Struthio camelus: one gene and its partner. Each later gene encodes a partner of the first gene's protein in a complex. Links are inferred from orthologs where the notes say so. Each region holds a gene or a part of one and is shown on either strand. Other genes may lie near its edges.

Region 1 (10,841 bases):
ATGCTGCATAATGCTTCCTCTGCAAAGTCAAAAAGCCCAAATCCTAGACAATGACTTTTCAACAACTAGACCACTATGCAGGCGTGTGGAAGGGGTGTCACATTCAGCCAAGTAACTGTACCGAGAAGAGTTCACTAAATATTAAAACATTTTTTTCCACTTACCTAACAGACTGACCAGAATTTTAAATTGGGAAACAACATGAATCTGAAAGAAAGAGTTCTATCAGAGCCTACATTCACAAGCCAAACCTCTGACTGAGGCTTGATTATAGATAGTCTAAAAACAATGAATCTTATATACTATTAAAATAATGAAAACAGCAAGGCACCTATCTATGCACTGCCTCTCTCTCCAGCCATTGTAACCCTTTTCACTTATACCCAAATTTTGCAAGCTAGCACACAGAGCTTGTCACCTAAGCTCGTAAGAAAGTTTGAAATAAGGAATATGTAGCAGTACAAACGTACATCTAAAGGAAATACAGGAACTTGCCGAAAGAGGCTGCACATAATCTTTTTTGAGTACTTTCCTGAGTATGAATATTATGAGCTAAAGTTCCCCAAAAATGAAACAGTAAGAAGACCTGACTGAAAATAGCAACAGTTACTTTAGTTCTAAATTTCAACTAACAGGAATTACATTCACATTGTATAACCAAGAGTCAAACAATATATCACAGTCTGTAGGTGTGAGCACTACCATCATTTTTTATGAATATTCCCAGTCAGAGCAGCTGGAGGATTACTGCAAACTAAAGCACTTCCATAAAATCCAGAAATGAAATGTGAAGTCCCAATTCTTAGCATTCTGCTTTAGCAGCCAAATCAAGCTTCCTCCTATTATAGGAGGAGACAGTGGACTAAAACACCAGGCTGTGCCGCCCCCAGAAGAACCCATAGCTTTGGATATTTTTTTTCTGTTAAAACTAGCCCAAATGCCAGAAGTACATTTGACATATCAAGATTTCTTGGCTGACAACACAATAAAACTTCCCCCACATCAAGAAGCCGGTATTTCCTACCTGCTGAATCTTTTTGGAGAAGTTCTTGTTGGATTTCTCTAGCGTCACCTCAAACCTATTGCAACCTACCAAAGAGATTTGAGAGAACACGTTAACTGAAGTTACCTGTAAAGTTATGACTGAATAAATCTTACACTAAATAGAACACAGAGAATTATGAAATCAAAATTGATCACTTAACACCAGAAGAATGACTCTAATGTCTTTGTGCTATCTTTTACTTAACAGTTAAATGCATCAGAAGGTCTTCCATGTAGCCAAGCAAAGATTTAAATTATACTTCCTGTACCCATCCGAGGACCTCATCAACAATTAAGATTTTTGCCTTGCTGGGATTTTAGATTACAACATCTATTATTTAAATATTTTCAAACCGAGAGATACAAAGGTACCCAAAGACTTTATCTATACCACTCAAATGTCAGCAATTTAAATTGCTAGGGAACACATCACTGCAAAGTAGACAAGAAATAAACACTGCACCACAAGGGTTTAAAAGGAGTTTTAGGGATAAAGACTTACAGACACTTTCTGATGACATAACCTCTCCTGGCACTGATGCAAAAAAGGGGGAGAAATTTACCATGTGAGATAAAACACTAACGACTCAGGACTAACACGTTCTCATCGGAATAGATGGCCTACAAGTTTCGGAAAAAGCAAGCTGAATTCAGTCTCAAAAACCCAAGTAGCTACACATAAACATCCTTCCAAAAGCTGATGCACTTGGGAACAGATTTTTTTCTCCTTTGCTATCGTACGTAATACTACATTAGCGTGTTTAATAACACGGGTTTCTACACAACAACAGATAACGTGAAATAGAGACCTGTTTAGTGAAAGCCAGTTATAACTAAATCTAAAAATATAATAGTGCTCTTTGTGGCATCTCCAGAACAGACTAAGAACTGACCGACTGTCCAAGAGGCAAGTAGAAGAGTACATGTATCATAGAACTAGTTAGGGGGGTTCCCCCTCCCCCATCCTGTAACACCAGTGAATAAAGCTCTTAAATGAAAGACTGGATTAGTAGATCAGTAACAGATGACAAGCATCAGATCTCTGACAACTAGTACAGCGCACTGCTTTTGTCTGCATTTCTCTACAAGTATTGCAGTCACAAAAACTAAACCAACTTACTGTATGGAGACCTAATATAAAACATATTTAAAGATAGAAGGTAGGCAGATATTACTTGCCATCTTTCTTATACATCTGATAAACAGTATGTACACTTCCACTAAAGATCCCACACAATATCAAACTCTAGGCATGAAAAAATTAGCAATTAAACATTTGTGTTAATGTCACTATAACCTCTAAAGCGCATGAAATAAAAATACCACTGCCTTTTTCTGCCGTTCTTAAAATCAACTTACCTATATCTTTCTTGATCCTGTAAAGGAGAAGATGCCCTTGTTTGGTACCAACGAGGAGCCATTCCTCTACAAAGAGTGGGGAGAAAAGAATCTAATCAGTATCAGCAAAGACCACTCTTAACCACCTCTGTTACATTTATCAAATACCAGGAAACTTGCTTCAAATTCCTAATAGGGATTTATGTTGCGAGACATGCATGTTTCCCATCATTTCTCTGGTGGAAATGCTCAGTAGTAGCTTTCATTCTTGGGAGATAATATCCGGGAATCAAGCAGTAAAAATGAGACTACAGCTTAGATATTACCTACTTGTTCTTAGCAAGGTAGAGGAACAAGCAATTGCATCTTTCATGCAATTAAAAGAGATAATAAACTATTCTTCAGATACCATCTCCCAGAGAGGAACAGTGCTACATAATGGGGGGGGAGGGGGGAGGAAGAGAGGGGGGAAGCCAGGGGAAAAAAAAAAAAACTATAGAAATTACATTAGGTTAGGAGTATTAAGAGGTTTGTTTTGTTTATAATAGTCTTTATGAAGGAGTAGCAATGCCTGAAAGGATTCCGGCAGCTTTGCTTAAATTGCACTTGAACTGCTTGGAGACTCATTTAGATTCATTTAGAATTTACAAAAATACACTTTTTTTTAATTTAAAAACTCTGTTGTTGAGGGTTTCAAATTTGTCCAGTGTATAGCATCTGTCATACAAAAGTCATAGTACCTTTATTTGGTCATTAAATTTGACTGAAATTCTTCCTCCCTGATGCAGGTCATATAAGAAACAAGCATAAAAGAACATTTCTCTCTAGCATCACTACTTCCTCATTACCAAACTACATGTATTTTAATAAAACCTTGTTTCCTGGAAGGCCTTTCCTCCACTATTTGGTAGAAAAGCTGCAGAACCAGAATTACAACTTTTTTAAAGCAAGTATGCTTCACGGGCTGTTTCGGCTTTTTTCTACTTCAGCAAAAGAAGGGCTTTCAAAGAGAGAAGGATAAAGGCCTCACCACAGAAACAAACAATGCTCGCATCTTCTCTAGTACAGAGTCTAGCGCGAACGACCACGTTTAGGTTTGGCAGCACTACTCAAGTTATAATTTCGTCCTTAAAAAAAAAGATTACACGGGTCACCGATCCAGAGAGTCTAGGATTTTTTTAATTACTCATTTTCTTCCACGACACTACATCTGCTGGACACTGCTCGGGCCGCTTGCGAAGCTGTATCGGCGCGGACAGAGGAGCGGGCGGACAGCAGGAGCGACCAAGACCAGATCAAATCCTTTGCAGGCACGGATGCCCCCAAAACATAACCGATGCATCTACAGGCCACTAACACACGCGGAGAGAGGGTAAAACCAGGACTCCAGAAGCGCAACCTCAGCACACCGCAGGCTCCCTACGGCAAAGCCCGGACACGAACAGGCCGCGTTTCTCTCAGCTCGCCCCGGCCGGGCCGCCCGGCACCGCGGCAGCCCCCTCCGGAGCCGCCCGGCGCCCCCTCCCCTCCCGCAGTCCCTCGGCGGCAGCAGGAGGCCCGGCCCGGCCCGGCCGCGGCGCTCACCCCAGGCCGCCAGGCAGTCGATCTGCAGCGGCAGCTTCTCCAGGATCGGTACATGCTCGAAGGCGTCGTGCATGATGGCGGCGGCGGCGCCGCTCCCGCCCACCCGCCCACCGACCCACCGGGAGGAGGCAGCCGGCGGCGCGGGGGGAAGAGCGGGCGGGGCGGGAGGGCCCCGAGGGAAGCGGAAGCAGCAGCAGTAACGCCGCCGCCACCACCGGCGGTGGACCCGCAGCGCCCGGCCCTTCCCGGCAGCCCCCGCGTCCCGCCCCGCCGCCGCCGCCGCCGCCGCCGCTTCCGCCTCGAGGCCCCGCCCCCAAGCCCTCCCCTCCCCGGGGCAAGCCCCGCCCCCTGCGCGGGGTGGGTGGGGCCGCCGGAGGCCACGCCCCCGCCGGCGGGGAGGAGCCGCGGAGCGCCGCGTTGGGGCCGGGCTCGGCTGGGATGTGCGGTCGCCCAGGCTGCCGCCGGCCCCAGCCCTCACCCCGACGGAAGAGTCGCCTCGGCGTACGGCCAGAGAAGGGGTCAGGCTTTAAGAGGATAATTTCGCCTTCTCGTAGTGAGGCTGGTACCGGAGCCCGCTGCTGACGCGAGACTGGAGCGCACGGGAAAGCCAGCTGGTGCAGAGGAGGACAGAAGCTGACCGGCACAACCTAAGAAAACTGGACAAGAATATCAGCGTACCTCTTGCAAGGGAATAAATGCCTGTTTTTGACGGTCCCGTTATCTGTGTGACTTCACATTCCTTTTCTCTTTAGTACGATTACGTTTGCAAAAGGATCGTTATCCCTTTTAAAAGACAGAACCCCTTTTCCAGATAAAACCCTTCATGTGGCCAAGGGCCAGCGAACTTGCGTTCTTGTTAGGAAATCTTTACTTGTGATGCTGCCCCTTCCCAAAAAAGCCCCCGTCGCAGCCACAGCAGCAGCAAAAGGCGCAGCATCCGCCAGCGTCTCCCCCAGCAGCAGCTGCTGCGTGGGGACAATGGACTGAAAATGCTCCGAGCCAGAGACCGACGCGCAGGGGCGGGAGAGCGAGCGTGGCGCCCCTTAGCCAACTTCTTCCCTGCTCGGGGCTTCCCTACGGCTCACATGCCAGGTCACATCCTTCCCAGACAAGAGAGCTGCAGGCTGCAGCTCAGGCGTGCATCAGGGCTCCTTGCCCTGCACCTCCTACAAAACGAAGAGGAGCAAAGCACCGGTATTAGTGAGAGAAAAGTAAGTTTCTGTTACACCAAATAACTACAAGCAAACAGGTGCAATCCATTTTTACCAGGCTGCAAATTACACGCCAGGCATTGGCCTCTTCCGGTTTGAAGGAGTAGAAGTAGCATACCTCGCCCTTAACATACAACATAAAATGCCGTATTAATTGAACAGAATGCCAAAAAAACCACAGACTTCACCCTCTACATCTGTGATATTTATAAGACAAAAATACCCTTTCCTACCCCCAGTCTTATGATCTTGACTCACTCTGTGCCTATCAAGCCTGTTGCATTTCTTTACCACATCATGTGACCCCCTACACACTACTCCGTCTCTCCTTCAGCGCTTCTAGCAGAGGCATCTAGCACCATAATGAAAAGCAAGTCAACATCGTTATCTTCCACACTACTACTTTGTTTTCACAGCTTTCTGTATGGCATGCATATGCTACCACTGCATTAGTAATATCACACTTTTCACAAACAAACAAACAAACAAAAAATCACACACAAAACTAATCAGGCCAAGAGAACTCCAAAAAAGTCCCTCTGTATTTGAGTTGCTGACATGTTACATTTTTTGTGAGTGGAGCACTATCTCAGTTGAGAAGAGCTAAAAGACCTTCAGAGCCCAGATAGGTTGTTACAGATAACGTCTGAAGTCAGCAGCCAAGTTTCTTCAAGAAAATTCAGTTTCTACACGTTCTAATCACTAACAACTTCTGCAGATCTCAGACTGAAGACTAGTTACATGTTTTCTCCCTCTTCCTCACCGCTCTTCTTTAGGTCTTCAGAATAGTCAGTACCTTTTGTTTTAAATTACAGCACCTGTTTTGAAAGAATGGGTATAAATGTGACTTTTAAAGTCATCTCTGCTGTGCAGAGGTAAATAAACCTGCAGGATTTTATGGCTAAGCTTTCCTATTAAATCACGGAGCCCCTACACCTATGAGGTTTAAGAGCAAAACCAAGAGTCAGGGGAGAGTAAAGACTGCCTTAGCAGAACCAGCACACCTGCCCCAGCATGCTGCCGGAGGAGAGGCTGTGGTACCGCAACGCCTTTGCACACGTACCCTTTGTTCACCATCCACGTCTCAGCTGCTCATTCCCTGCTTTTAGCCACCTCTTCTGCAGTCCTAACTGTGGCTGCAGTTGAGCACGTGCCATAGCCTGCTTCCTACCGTGGAAACAGATCCCTGATACAAGTTCTCCGCAGGAGTGCAAACAAGGCAGTCACAGCACAGGCCTGCCGCTGCACGCTAAGAAGCAGATGCTCCTTTCCAAGGACATGGAAACTGCCAACCAAGTGGAAAAATAAGAACAGCTATCTACAGGAGCAAGAAGCTATAACCAGAAGGCATAACAGAGCAAGCCATCATAGAATTCAGGACAGTTCTAATACTGATGCAAGTTTCCACCCCTGCGATAAGGGAGGAAGTCAGAAGACAGCTCAAACCTAGTAGACTGAAAGCATCCCACATCTACAGTATTTATTTTGGTCTTTAACTAATTAGTCACCCTGGTTCTGTAACAGGAAAACAAATTTTCACTTTTGTTCAGAAATTTGTGATTTGCCCAGTCTATATTAGCTTTTCAGCTGACACAGGCATCCACTCAATTGGCACATTTAATGTAACTATTAGGGGGAAAATGTAACTATTAGGAATAACAGCACTTATGACTTTTGTAGTCATACAAAAAATGGTTAATTTCTCATATAAGGGAACAGGTAGTGAGGAAATGGAAAGAAACCAAGTAAGTCTTTCTACTCTTTGCCTAGCTTTTATTAAATAGTACATACAAACTTCTTTTTTGTGCTTCCAGTAGAGAACGTTTTTCTCTATTTGTCTCAAAAAAAAAAATCAAGAGGACTTAAAAAAATAGCATTAAGTAGTCAGTTCAGTGTAGCTTTATTTCACAAAATTTCTTCTCCCCAGAAAGGCATGGAGGGTGTTTGTTTCATCTGTATCAATTAAGCATACCAAATTAAAAATCAAAATGTTTCCTAATTAAAGATTCTACAATATCTACCTGTGGCCAAAAGGGGTTGGCAGGAGAGCTCCGCAAATCTTGCAGAGGCAGATTAAGGTGTTAACGCCCCAGCTTTTTCTCTGCCCTTCTGCTATGAGGTTGCTGTCCCTCAGAGCACAGTTAACAGAAGGTACGTACGCTTGTGTTTCAACTATTCTACTGTAAAGTGCAGTGCTCCAGCATAAATTGTTGATGAATTAGAGCTAAGCTATCAGACTTTACAGTGGAATGAATGAAGTACAGTCACACATACACTTCTGCAGACGCAGCTATCGCAGCTATCCGCTATCGGCGAAGAACAAGAAAAGCTGACTCCCCAAGCCTGTCCAGCAAGATCCACAACTAGCATGTCTGACAGCTCCCTAAAAGTCAAGCTGTGTTGCCATTGCCTGCTAGTTATCAGTTGTAAAGATTATGAACTGTATCAATTAGAGCCTTTGTCATACAGCCTATAATGGGTTTCCCTGTGTAAGTTACTGCAAGTGAAACCTTCTCAGCCAAACTTAAAACAAAACCAGGAAACCACCCAAGATACTTCAAAGTTCTTTCCCCTTTAAAAAGCAGGGGGGGGGGGGGGGCGGAACGTACAGAATAGAAATCTGCAACTTTGACTGAAACACAATGATCAAATCAACAGAGTACCTCTTGACCATAGGGACTAACACAGGACAGGAAAGTACATCACCAAATCATTTACTTTAGAGGCAAGACTAAAGTGGCCTAAAGGGGATGGCCAGATAACTAAGACACTAGGAACAGAAATAGCCCAGCACTCTGTACTCTCATCAAAGCTTCGGTCCGGTAAGGTAAGCAGTGGTTGCTCCCTCTACAAAGCAACATCATCTTCTCATAGAAGAGTAATAATTTTTTGATGGGAGATGTTACATGTGCAGAGAAGAGAGTTATGCCAAAACATCCAGTTAATAGCTGCTTAGCATAATAGTCAAATACTTGCAGAGCTTTGCAGAAGTGGGTAGTGGGTTGGTGCGTGGGTTTTTTTTTTTGTTTCTTTGTTTGCTTTTTATTAGGTCATGCAACAATGGGAAGGTAGGGGCAAATCATTTTTCCAGGCATCCACCACATTGCCGGCAATGAGATGTGCCACAACAAATGTAAGCTTTATGCAACTGTTACCTATAGGTCAGTGACATTTAAAATAGAAAATCTTTCTTACACAGTGTTACGAATAAAATTGCACTTGATTTTGTTAAAAACCCATCATATCACTGTAACTTTTCCAAATATTTCCTTTCTGGCATCCTATTTCCTTCAGTAATAGGAACTGCTCTATAAAAACCTCTCACTGACATCTGCCAGAAAAGGGGTAGGTTGTTTTTCCAGTGCTTATTTCTATCTGTTCCCACCCTCCCCCCAAAACAATACAGGCAGTTGACCAGTAAATTGTAACACTGAAATATAAACTCCTCAAGCAGACATTAGGAATTTTAGTTTCACAGATTAAATATTTGAAAAGTTACAGAAGGTGCCAGAATAGTATACATTTGCTTAAAAATCCAAACTTGCAGCAACTTTGAAAATTCAAAATTTCCAAAAGGTGTATCAATGTCTTTGTGAACTTCTTCCACAGCAAGATGCCCTCATTCCAATAAAGCATCAAACTCCCAAGGCTGAGATCAAGAAACAAATCAGCAGGATGCACTTGATCCACCAAGCAACTTTAAGAGAGCTGTCTCCACATCTAATAGCAAAAACTCCATTTGCTGCTCCTTCATTCCATTTTGGACCTTTCAAAGTGTGTAATCATTCTTTCCTGCAAGACAAAAAAAAAAAAAAAAAAGACCTAGTTTTGTCATGTGGCTCTACATATTAACAGTATACAGAAATAAGGGGTTATGCCTCACATATTTACAACAAATGCATACTCATATGCATTTTAAGCCAGGAGTCCAACTTACACAGCAGGTATAACTTTCCATTCCAAAAGAAAGGGTATACGTTTCCATCCACAAGTTACTAGTTCACAGGACTACAGGTCAGAGGTCATGTCATTCACACATGTATTATTCACATGCATCATAATTTTCACTGCTGTGAAAGTAACTTTCCCTCACTAGCTGATGAGTTGTACTGTTTGCTCCTGCTCCAGATACCAGCTTAGTATGGACTCCCCTTTCAAACACTTACACACGGGATTCTACTGTGAGATACAAAAATATGAAGGACTACCTACATAAAGGGTCCAAATAGTTATTTCAGCGCTGTAATATTCACCTTCTTTCTCATTACATCTTCCTGACAATTTAACTCCAGCATAAATTTGTTATTTGTTAGCAAGTTGACTGACACTATCTGGAGATAGACCTTGGGGAAACAGCGATGGGCACGATAATACTAGTAACATGGGACAGAGCCATCATTTAAAAACCACAGTGCTATGACAATATCCTCTACACTATTCATCATTGCTGTGTAGCATTTTAAAAAGTAGTTACCAGAAAAGCCTTCTGAATTCCCAACGTGCATTTTTTGACACTAACACAAAGTTATGCCAGAAGACTCGAAAATACTTTGCTATTATCATTTCCTCTAAATGCATTACAGTACTTTTCAAGTGATACATTAACTAATGGTATCATGATACCAAGAGTATCTGCTACCCACAACGTTAATTAAAAGTATTCTCCAAGCTACATAATTCAGCTGCTTTTCCACAGCATAACATCCCTCCCCTAAGAGTTCACGTACAAAGGGAAGAGGAGAAACTGAGTGGTAAAACCACAACTGAGTATGCAAAAAGAGAGAGACACGACACACAGACAGACACACAGACAGACACACAGACAGACACACAGACAGACACACAGACAGACACACAGACAGACACACAGACAGACACACAGACAGACACACAGACAGACACACAGACAGACACACAGACAGACACACAGACAGACACACAGACAGACGCTCTCTCTACAGCAGAAAGAGCTTGTAAAGCAATTAAAAAAAACCCACTGTTTGCTTTGTGGTAAATTGTATTCTTCAGCATATGTACAATTACCACTGAAAGAATGAGCTATGCAGACAGCAAACCTTTGAGACTCATTTGTATTGTAACAAGTTGTATCATTGGTTATGGCCACTCTCCCTCCTCTGGTAGTATTCTCCTGATGCACTGGCAAGATCACAGAACCCAGTTCTATTAAGCCAAGTCCTTAACAGATGACTCATAACTCCTTTGGCATCTCATTTGTACCAAAAATTTGTTTACTGACCTCATCTGAATCCAGGAGAGCTGGAAGAGCACTGCAAGAGAAAAAAAATGATTAAGTGAACTAGAGCACCTACTGAGAACAGATATCAACAACTGTTTTCAACCTTATTTTGCACCTTTATTTTTTTTTTTTTTTAGGGCAAAGGAGAACAGTAACGAAGATATATAGATGTTTTAAGTCAAAAACATGGAAGTTAGAGAAAGACGCACAAAAGGAAGAAGAGATCAAGGTGTACCCTCAATGACCTTTCACAGTTCTAAAACTATTTTGTTCTCCGTTTCTAAACTCATTGCCAATTAAACAACTTAATAAATTGACACGAAATAACCTGCATCATTCCAAGCATCTTACCAGTCTGGCTACAACTACAAAGGGAACATTTTGTCAATATATAAACACTGACAAGA
Region 2 (11,113 bases), on another chromosome or scaffold:
TCTGTATGACAATGGAATATTGTTCTTATTAGAAACAAACACTAATGCTGCTTTAAAAAGATGAAAATAATGAATAAACAGCTAGGAGAATATATAAGTGATAAGTGAGATTTATTAAAGGAATATGTAGGACCTCACAACAAGAGAACAAACACCAAAATATCCTCATGAAAGTAGTGAAAACATCTATTATATGTTTATATCTCTAGACTTTCATTTTTTATAATTTGCTTCAAAGAGAAAAATTCAATGGCAATAATTTTAAATTAAAGCTAGAAATCACAAGTATATAGATTACGGGAAATAGAAAAAATAAGTCAACAGTAGAAGAATTAAAGACAATAAAAAGGAATGTTTTAATTCTATTAGGAAAGAGAAGGAATCCTAAAAAGAAATGACAGAAAGAAACGGTAGAATTATTCACAATAATAAAATAAACGCAAAAGCGTTCAGTATTTTGCATTAGTTTAATACCGAGTCATGTCCTGATGGATGCAATTCAGGAAAGACGGTAATATACTGGGATGTAGAGCAGACAACATCCACAGAGATGACTGGCAGAACATAAAACATCTTTTATGAATGACTCAGTGAAATCTTTATATTTAATTTAACAAATAACAATTAAGAAGTGACTTCATGTTAGGCTACAAGAACTCACATGGGGAACAGAAATTTGATAATACAGGACTCTAAAGTTGCAAGATAGAAGATGACATAATGGACATAATGAAGTGGTTCAAAGCAAAAGTTACATAAATTTAAACTTGAAGTAGAGGTAATGAAGAATTGTTATGCTAGTCCTGCAATACTAGATGTAAGCAGTACTCCTCAAAACTGGAGGAGATTATAGAAGATCAGTTTGAAGCAGAAAAAAGGAGAGAATTTCTTTAAGCAGAAGGAAGAGAATTTCTGTGATTCACTGCCTCAGGAGACTGTGGAGGGAAGCAGTATTAGCAGGTTCAAAAGAGAGAAACTCATCAACAGTGAGTTCATTAACAGATACTAAAAAGAGCAGTCAGGGCAAGAGCCTTCTAATGTGCCTAGTTCCAAGCAAGCAGATGCTGGGTGATGCAGGAGGAGCAAAAAAGCATCTCTTATTGCTATGAATGGAGACCAAGTACTGGCCTAGATGGATTATCGTTCTGACCCACTAAGATGTTTCTTTTACATTCTTTATTTTTTCTAGCAGTAAGTATAATTGCCCTTGAAATGACTTATCAAAGCTGCAGGGAGTTCTATGTAATTGGTACTATTATGTCAAGGTTAGAAAGTTTTTGTAAAAAACTGACACAAAGAGGAATTAATTCAAGTAAACCTCATGGCCCATGTTAGGGAGGAGTTCAGATTAAATCACAATGCTATTCCCTTCTGGCTTCATAATCTATAGATCTATGAAATTATCTTCGAGTAAAATAATTTTTCAGCCTCAGACTTGCTCCATCTTTCCCAGGTCCTTAATATTTTTAACTACAAGGTTTTCAAAAGGGTCCCTTACTACCTCTTCCTTTATATATAGCCTTTGTTTATCTTTAATAAATGGATAATTGTACAGGCTTTATGATGTTCACTGTGCTTCACTCTTTTTCATTTCTGTGTGCTCTACCCTGCACAAGAAGGTATCTTTCAATAAAGATTGCCTGAAAATGGAGAACGGAGCAGAAAGGGAGTGAGGGTTAGAGGAAGAAAGAAGAGACTTAGGGAAAACACTATTCCTCAAGGAACTGAAGATAATTTGAGTATAATTTTGAAAAGTCTTAAAATGCCAGGGAACACAGAACAACTATTTTAAAGAATTTGTAATAATCTTTCTGATATTCTTATTGCTCTAATTTTCATAAAATGGCTGATCATTTAAACTTAATTTAAATGTGCTGCAATGGTGGGACAGAGCAGTAATGAGTACTTCCATTTCTTCCCTTTTTGGTGATATGACAATTTACATGGAAGTAAACTTTACAGTTAGTATGATGCTCATACAGTACTACATGTTTAACCAAAAAATATTTATTTATACTTGTTAATGACAATCCTACAAAGACTCACACATGAGCTTAGCTTTAAGAGCATGATTAGCCCCACAGTTTATCTGTTCATGATAGACAAAGATATTTATATGCATAGGACTTTGAAAAATTAAGGCTTTTCTACTCGTGACGGATAATATCTGCCCCAGGAATACTTGTAAAGCTTTCCTACTCGTGACTGATAATATCTGCCTTGGGAATACTTCTATTGAAGAGAACGACAGCAACTGGGAAGAAAAGTATCCCTACATTTGCAAGACATTTGCCTAATCTTGCTTCAAGACATTAAAGCATATATATTTAATGTTCTGATTTATAATTGAAAGAGTTTTCATATTCATTGTTCAGATACTTCTTTCAAGAGGAAGTGTCATAAAATAAAGGTTAAAAGTGAACTAAGAAGAAAAAAGTAAACATTTGCAAAACAATATAATGCTAACAGGTGGAATAGGATCTTTTTATAAAAGTATGGAATTCCTGAACATATTCAAGGTTACATGCATGGAAGCTATGGTGCAAACTGAAAGTATGTTCACAAAAATAATTCTTTGATAGCAAGTGAAAAAAGAAAAGCCTTTGCAAGTTTCTTTCTACAAACAAACAAACAGAAAGAGGAAAGCCTTTGAACTTCCATTGTTCTGACAACAATATCAGCTAGGTTTTATCCAGCACAGTGTTTTTAAATGCTATTAACTTACAGACTACACCATGTTTTTTTTACTGAATAAGTGGTGGTGAGAGTGGAGAGAGATAACCCAGCTGAATATTTTTTTGGATGAATCAGTCCTACTTGAAAGCAACTGAGAGCTCTTGGAGCCTGAAATACAATAATCTCTACCAAATGGCATTGATACTTGCTACTTGTTATGTTTCACACTAGTCAGAAAGAGTGTTAAAGAAAGTGAGATAGAAATTCTAGCAGTATTTGGAATCTGGATGTTGGTCAAGGTCCAAATTTCAATGATAATTCTGGTTTCTACAGCAAAAGATAAATTTAAAACTCCTGACACACTTTTGAATTTTATAAAGCTGGAAGTCCAGCATTCCAAATATGGGGGTATCAGCATCCTTTTATCAGAGCTCTGAAGAATTCCCATTAACTGGAAGCTCTGCATTAAAATAGGTACTGTGAACATTGAAAGTGTTGTGGTAAAGCTAAAATCTTTATTTTAAAGTCTTATTAGGTTACTTATTTTCAGTGAACTACATGAAAAACATACTGCCAGACTATTAATTGAGATGCGTCTGGGCCAAAACTCTATACCTAAACTTCAAAGTATTCATAATCTTACTAGCAGTCCCAAACATCTCTTGACTTGTCCAACTGACTTAACCAAAACTTCAGATCTATGTGCTGACAAACAACGAAAGATAATATTTTTTACTGTTAGGATAGAACATTCACTTCCCTTAGGCAGTGCTGCATTTTCTACTTATGCTGAACTATGCTTAAGCATTTTATCTCCACAGGTTGACTGTGATATTCTCAGGCATGAGTCTGCAGGATGCTGAGTGCTTTGTGGGAGGTGCTGAAAGATTTTAAATCCCATTGACGCCATTGGTACTTGATGGCTCTCAGCACTTTGTGGGGGAGGCGGGGGAAGAGGGGTGTCAGAATCAGAGGCTAACAAATTTTCCTGACCCAATGAAAACGTGTAATCATGGCAGATTGAATTCATACCTTAAGTCTAAACAAGAAAAAAAATATTTTTTTCTGCCAGAAATAAGTAACTTATTGCAAGTAAATCACATTGGTATACGACTTACTCTATGTGCAGTGAAAACAAGAACAGCTGTTCTTGGTTGCTCTGTTTGTAACAAATGTACCCTATTAGGTGTTATAATAGCAAAGTTTACAAGATCTGCCATCCTTTCCATTACACTCTGTTTTTCTTGGCATTTATAAAGTCTGTTATTAACAGTCATTTCAGTTTAAAAAATGCCACAAAACATCTCAGTTCAGGGGCAAAAAAACCAAAACCAAAACCATAAAGCAAAACCCCCCTAAATATTTTTTTCCTGAAAGTGGAAAAAAGCTTATCAGAGAAGGTTTCCTTTCACTAAATATACACAGTCTTCAAGTATAAGATAAGACAGCTTGTGCATTACATATTACAGGACAAATCCTGGCTACATTGATGGCAACGGTAATGTTTTCACTGATTTCAACAGGACTTCATTCCTCTGATACATGAGAATCTACTTCTGGTTCTCAATCTAAATGTACTGATAATAGCTGATACCTATTTGATCTCATTCCTTTGGTAGCTCTTTTTCCTCTTCAGCTCCTAATTGATCGCTCTTAGACAGGTCCTGGACTGAAGAAGCCAAGCTCTTTTTGTTCGGTCTTCTCCAATACGACAGACCTTAAATTTCTGTGATCCTTTTAGTAGTCTTTTGCCCCCTTTCAGTTTGAATCAATCTTTTTTTGAGCAAAGGCAACTGGAAATTTACAGTTAGTTCCAGATGAGGTCTCAACAATATCTTGTACAACAGCAGCCAAACATCTCCTTCTCTGTAGATATCCCTAGGCTTAAATAGCCAGGATTACATTTACATACCCCTCATAGTCCTTAGATGTTTGATAATAGATCAGAAATGAACGTTTTCTTGTACTATGTAATTTCCAAATGCAGTGTATTCAGGACAGTTATATCTACATGTTCTTGCACTGACATCAACTGTTAACTTTGATAGTCCTCTCTCATCCCAGTGTCAACCTCCCAGTCTATTTTTAGAGGACAGTCATATCTCTTCTCAGTAGAAATTCTGGCTATTAGTTTCTAAATGCACGACAATGATATGATACATGATTTTCATATCCATAATAATACTCTCCGCAATTAACTTTAATTGTATGTCCTTATGTCCATCCAGTTCTAGTATAATACCCTAAGATTTCTCCTTTATTGTCGGAGCTGACCTGCACTTTTTAAATTCTTGGCAGTGGTCCCATGGGTATGGACGTCGCACATTAACTGCTGCTCCACCTGAAATACGCAATAGCTCCACAGACAAAACCTGAATGATAGAAAGTATTGCCAGTTGCCTTTTAGCTTGGGTCATATTTTTAAGGTAAAAACGTAATTTGAGTGCAAACTCGGTGTTCAGATCTTAAGTTTTAAGAGAGGAAATGCAGCAGCTCTTAAGAGTTTTAGAAAGAAGCTCGGATTTTCTAAAATCCTCCGCCTGACTCTCATGTGCGTGTGAGGCCTTTCAATATTAACAAATTTGGTAAAGGTACAGAAAGAAAAGGACTGCTCCATGTCTTGCAAGAGGATCTAACTGAAATTGGAGCTGCGCTTAACCGAGGGCTGTTCAGGCAGATGCCAATAAGCAGCCGCTGCCCTGAAGAACGGACAGTCTAATACCAAAGGTGGCAACGCGCTGGGAGACGCGGGAGCTGGCTCCTGGCATCACCTACATCATCGTGGCGCTGAGGGTGCTGCTCAACTCTCGCTCACCAGGGACAATTCCGCTCTTTACCACCTCTGCCTTCTTCAGTCTTGCCAAAGGCGGGAGCTTTTGGGGGGAAGCCCAAGCTCTTGATATCGCGTGAACCTAGCTTAAAAAGGTGCTTTGCTCGCAGTTGAGGAGAGCAGTGGCGTCGGGAAATTCATGGTGTGGCCTGGAGCCCGCCCGGCCTCAGCCCTGCCGAGGCAGCGACCGAGTGGCACGGCCGTTAACCGTCGTTAACGGTCACTAACCGCCCCGCGCCGCGCCGCGCTCCCAAACCCCTGGGCAGGGGCAGGCACCTCTCCCGCACCAGCCTCACCACAGCCGCAGCTAGGCAAGACATCTCTTTCCCTCCCCCCCCCCCCCCCCCCAAAAAAAAAAAGAGGGAGGAGAACACGCCCCAGCCCTCCAAACTACATTTCCCAGAGTGCCGGCAGAGGCGCCGGCTTCCTGCCCCTCACGTGACAGCTCGCCGGGCCCGCCATGGCGGAAGCTGAGGAGAAGGTAGAGGCCGTGGGGGGGCTGTCCCGGGGGGCGAGGAGCCCCGGGGGCAGCGGGCCCTGGGGCCGGGGAGGCCTTTGGGAGCAGAGGGGTAACGGGACAGCGTGTGTGCAGGGCGATAAAGGGAGCCAGCGACGCCTCTGAGGCGTTGTAACGGCCCGGGGTGGGGTGGGGGGGGGGGCGTTGGGGGCTACGCCTGAAACTTTGCCGCGCCGGGGCGGAGGGGGATGGAGGAGGAGATGTTGGCGGCGGTGTGAGGCCGCTTCACTGCCGCCTCTGTGCGAGGGCAACCGCCTGGCGGCGGGGCCTGAGGCCTGGGGAGGCGGCGCGGCCGGTGCCGCCCGCCGCTTTCCGCGGGCGCGGAGGGCCCAACCGGTGCGCGGTTAAAATGCCGAGGTAGCTGTCCCGAGGGGTCAGTCTGGCGGGCTTTCCCCTGGAGCCGCCGGTGCGCGGTCGCGCCTTGAGGCCTGCGGGTTGGCTCCGCTGCAGTGTTGTAAGGAGTGGGACTGAATGTTGTTTTAATGTTGTACCTCGGTTTGTGCATACGTGTAGATGCACAGCGGAGACTTTAAAAGGAGGTGGGGGGGGGAGGCGGTGTTCCAAAGATCTCTGTGAAAGTATGGAAATAATTGGCTTTAAAGGCACACATTGTGTGACAGTAACGGGGGGGAAAATATTTAGCAGTTTTTGAAGTGTTCAGTCTCATTTCAGTCTCAGAAAACAGATTTTCTTTTCCCTTTAAGAATGATATCTTTCTCTGTCTTGCTCTTACCAAGCCATAGAACTGCTAAGGTGTTAGCATCATAAATTTTTTATAGGTTTGTTTGTTTATTTTTTTAAGATACCCCCTCCTATGGGACCCTTAGCAGCTAGGAGTCAGTTGTGATGGTAGGCTTTGAAATGCAACTGGTGTCTGTGTAGAGCAAGGATTAAGGAGCTAAGAGAAGAGAAGGCTTGGTCTGAAATGATTGGGAAACTCTTTTGGAGAGTGGTGCAGAAGATATGGGCAAATTAATTTCGACAGTGGAATTCTCTCCTGAGACAAAATTTGAACCGTTTGGGCTTTATTCTGTGTCCTTAGGACCCACGGTTCTCTAAAGTGATGGTCCTCATAGAACTCTCTTGCCTTAGACTAATTTCCTAAGAAAATAATAAAAGCTTGAAAAGAAGTGGCTTGCTGCTTTCAAATATTTCTTAATCTGTTTCATTACTGAATTTTTTTTTTTTTGACATAGTACTAGGCAGTATGACGTTTTTCTCTGTTGAACACCTAAATGTGGGAGAGTTCTTAAATTTTCTCAAGGAAATGGGTCTTAATTGGTATTTGGTAGATGCATCTGGTTTGCACCTTTCTTGCTGCCATGGGTTTTGTTCGGCAAGGCTGGTTTCTTTTGAGAAGGCTTGGTTGCCTGATTCAGCAAATTTTTAAATGTAGCAGCGTTCAAAAGAATTCTTAGAATAGGACCAACTCTGATGAAACTTCTTATCTTATTTAAAAAATATAAGAGATTAAAACAACCTGTGTTTTGCTCTCTTTGTGCTATGGTATAACAGTTATCTAATTCACTTGTTTATTTTGTATGTAGAATATGTCTTCCTCCACTGAAAGGAATCTATAGGTTGTGCATGGAGATAAATGATTGCATGATTTCTTTGAAATCCAGGTTTCATGATTTATTCCCCTCCCAGCAGATTATTGGCCTAAAAATATAGTTGATATTGTCTGTTTTTGTGGGGGGGGGGGGAGAAGGGAAAGCCCCATATCCATCATATTGGAAAGCTGGATTAAGAATTTATTGAGCAGTTATGTTGGATCTGCTAGCTGGGTGATTTTAACAGTCAGAGATGATTTTACATTTCTGTGGTTTTCTCATCTGTGTTCCCTTCTTCTATTCTTAGGCTTCTAGAGCAACAGCATTTGCCAGCTGACTGAAGTGTACAGTAACGCTACTGTTCATTTTCCCCCTAGAGTCTGACAGATCTACCAATCAATGGCAGTTATTCCTCATGATTTGGGAATCTGGTCACCTACTAATCCCTGATGAGGGGTTTGCTCTTCACAGTTATGAGACTACTAAGAAGTCAAAGTGGGGGATAATCACCTTGGTTCATGCATTTAAAGGAGGGGGGGGGAGGAATAACAAAATTCCAAGGCAGTCGTAACTGCAGTTTGCTACTGTAGTTTTGCCTACGGGAGTGGGACAAAAACCTTTTCATAGTAAATTGCTAGCATAGTGAGTTAGCAGTTACTTGTCTAACAGTCTAGCAGTTACCTTTCTAAACACCTTCAGCTAAATTCTTGTTCAAGGAACAAATACAGTTTATGCCTTTATTTCTGAAGCCGGGGCTCCCTTTGAACTTTTGCGTGTCATTTCTTTTAGTAAAGCATAAAGGCCTTGAAGCATTTAAAGTGTGCCTGTATGTATACGCGATTTATGAAATCTAGTGGCTGCAATTGCAGTGGCTAACAAATGTAGTAAGTAGGGATACCAGGGTATATGTTCTAGACAACAAGAAGTTCATATTTTTTGGTTCACAGAGATTTGGTTATTTGAGTCAACTTCTGGTGTGTCTTGATTTTGTAGGCCAATATTTCTCAAGTTGTTATTTGGAAGGGTGTCTTTGGAGCTTACTGCAGTCTTTGCTTTAAGTGACTCAGCTGAACGGGAAGATGGACTGGTGTAACAGCAAGAGGGTTGTTACTCCACTGTGTGTGTCAGTCTATCTTTGTGGTGTTACACAGTAACCTCACCTTGAAAATTCTTGTCCCTAGTTTTACCTACGCTTCTGTTTTGCCGAATAGCTGTAATAATTGGAAGCATGTGAAATAAAAATAAGTGATGTAGCTGCACTAGCAAGTATCAAGAGTACCAGCAGAAATGTCACTTGCAGTAGCAGCTTATTTTGTTTGGGAGTGCAGGCTAATGTTTTGTTTTTGCAAACAAATTCTTCTGTTGATAAAGAATAAACCTGCTCTAAGGTTCTTTGTTTATGTAACTTCAGACATAATCAAAAACCTTGCTAAGTTTAGGCAGAGCTCTTGGAAGAATGGGAATCATGTGGAAATAACAAAATGATAGATCCAATACCTTTGGTTTATAAAGGGCTGATTAGGCATCTGCAGGCTCTTCAGGAGTCAGAGGCAGTTCTCCTGTTAGAAATCTGGTGATGTTTTGCGTTGTACTTTGTGTGTTGTGATACCTTCACTGTTGATGTTACATCACCATGTTTTAGCTCTATCATCATTTGGTTCTTGTTGTTAAGTAGATTTTAAGATGCATAGAGATTCTATGTAATAAAATCCTCATGTCCTAAAAGGTGACCGCATCTTGTGAATGGAGACCATGAAACTGACTCGCAGCCAGTAATACTTGCAAAGTCAAACCTTAGCTTGAAGGGGTGCTAGGATTTCACTCCCTCTTCATCCTGCCTTGCCTCCCATATTTCTTCTTGCCATTCCGCAACTCGTGTCATGAATATAGGATGCATAGATAGCCCTTCTATGGGATGTATGTTTTAGAGGCAGGCCTGACCGCAGTAAATAAAGTGCGGGAAATGGATGACAGTAATTGTGGTAACACCTTTCCCTGAATTTCAAATAGAAAGTACAAATGCTGCCTTTCTTTTCCCTCATGTGTATCTCTAATCAGGTGTGAGAGTCACTGTAGGTGAACCTCTGGTAGTGCAAAGGAGACCCTTGCTTTCTGCCCTGAGGTCGTGATAAGTGCATGTTATAAACAGGGAAAATAAATAAGCTTGACAAACTAAAGATGACACTGGTCATCAGTGCCTTAAATTTTCTTCCCATTTCTCTTTATGCTGTTGGTAACTATCTCTTTTTTTTTTTGGCTTCTTTTGTGAAATTCTATACCTACTTAGCTTATTGTCCAGATATTACTTCATAAGATTTGAAACACCACCTTTTCTCATGATCATTCTTTGTTTATATCATGCGTTATTGTTAAAATGCTTACGTTCACTGTCAGCGTATTAGTTGTAACCTTTTATTGCTATTGATAACAATAAATACGTTAAGTAAATCTACATTTTGCTGACCTCTTTGAGAAGGCATTGCATCAGCAGATTTTACCAGTGGACAGTGGGAGATTAGCAGGAGTTGACTTAATTTTTTTTTATGGTACAGTAAGATTCATCATCTTGCCAGAGAGAGGTTTTAAAGGTACAGTTGCATCAAAGGCAAGAGAAAGGCGCTTTGTTTGCATTGATGTGGCATGGGAAGGAAAAAGTCATTAAACTTGCTTTCTTGATGGCTTTCTATGGAAAATGGTTTGATATTAGTTTATTTTAAGATAAGTATGTTGATAGCTGGATACCAAAGCTACTTTATAGATAACTTGAGAATGCTGTTCTGCCCTTGTGTGTCAAGGGGTGGGAAGTTGCTTTTTATGGAATTTATTAACGTTTCTGGGGGGAGGGAGAAACTTTCACTGGGACCTGACACTTTATCAGATGATGCCCTCTCTTTTAGAGGAACCAACAGTAGTATCACAGTCAACTGGTGCCACTGAGTGTCAGTGTGGCACTAGATTACAAGTATAAGCACAAATTGGCTATGAATGTAGAGGATAATCATTTCTGACATGTTCAAAATAACTCTGAACCTCTGAGCTGCTTCCGCTTTGTCTTCTGTCCCATAATAATGGTCAAAAAGGTAATTAAAAGGGGGACTATTGCTCAGTTGTTTAGGTTATATATGTACTTACTTAATTTTTCCTTTGTTCTTCTTTGTATTGTTTTCAGGAAACCAGGTCTAATGAAGAATCAACAGATGAATCTGAGGTAAGCCTCCTTAAGATACTTCATACCTGAATTAGTTTCAGTACCTAGTCCTTTGTCAGTATGGAGAGAAAAATATTACTCTCATTAGTTTGTTCTGGTGGGTGCTTATTTAGAAGTTGTTCTTGTACTATAGTAGTGAATGTTACGCTGGGGTTAAATGATATAAAGGAGCTGTGGTTTGCTATTAAAAAGCTACTTTATATTTTAAAAAAAACCACCCTATTTTAGTATAGTGAGTTGTATTGGGAGAAAAATTCAACAGCATGTACTTCTGTTTTGATCAAATGAAAATTTAATTGACATTGTAATTATATATGCAGTAATACTAT

The links.
Region 2: VPS39 (region 1) and VPS41 share a complex: the UniProt entries of both Homo sapiens proteins name them as parts of the homotypic fusion and vacuole protein sorting (HOPS) complex. The link is inferred for Struthio camelus from reciprocal best matches to the Homo sapiens genes VPS39 and VPS41.

The regions. Positions count from the first base shown.
Region 1 is NC_090946.1:42,488,044-42,498,884, forward strand, and holds the start of VPS39 (vam6/Vps39-like protein), read right to left. Parts: upstream 4,230-10,841; 5' UTR 4,040-4,229; coding exon 3,967-4,039; intron 3,797-3,966; exon of another isoform or gene 3,413-3,796; intron 2,470-3,412; coding exon 2,404-2,469; intron 1,090-2,403; coding exon 1,025-1,089; intron 208-1,024; coding exon 165-207; intron 1-164. Other genes in the region: TMEM87A (transmembrane protein 87A), read right to left, coding at 8,928-8,969, 10,435-10,465. UniProt on the Homo sapiens protein: Regulator of TGF-beta/activin signaling, inhibiting SMAD3- and activating SMAD2-dependent transcription.
Region 2 is NC_090943.1:57,831,228-57,842,340, reverse strand, and holds the start of VPS41 (vacuolar protein sorting-associated protein 41 homolog), read left to right. Parts: upstream 1-5,917; 5' UTR 5,918-5,966; coding exon 5,967-5,987; intron 5,988-10,629; exon of another isoform or gene 10,630-10,644; coding exon of another isoform or gene 10,645-10,656; intron 10,657-10,745; coding exon 10,746-10,784; intron 10,785-11,113. UniProt on the Homo sapiens protein: Plays a role in vesicle-mediated protein trafficking to lysosomal compartments including the endocytic membrane transport and autophagic pathways. Acts as a component of the HOPS endosomal tethering complex.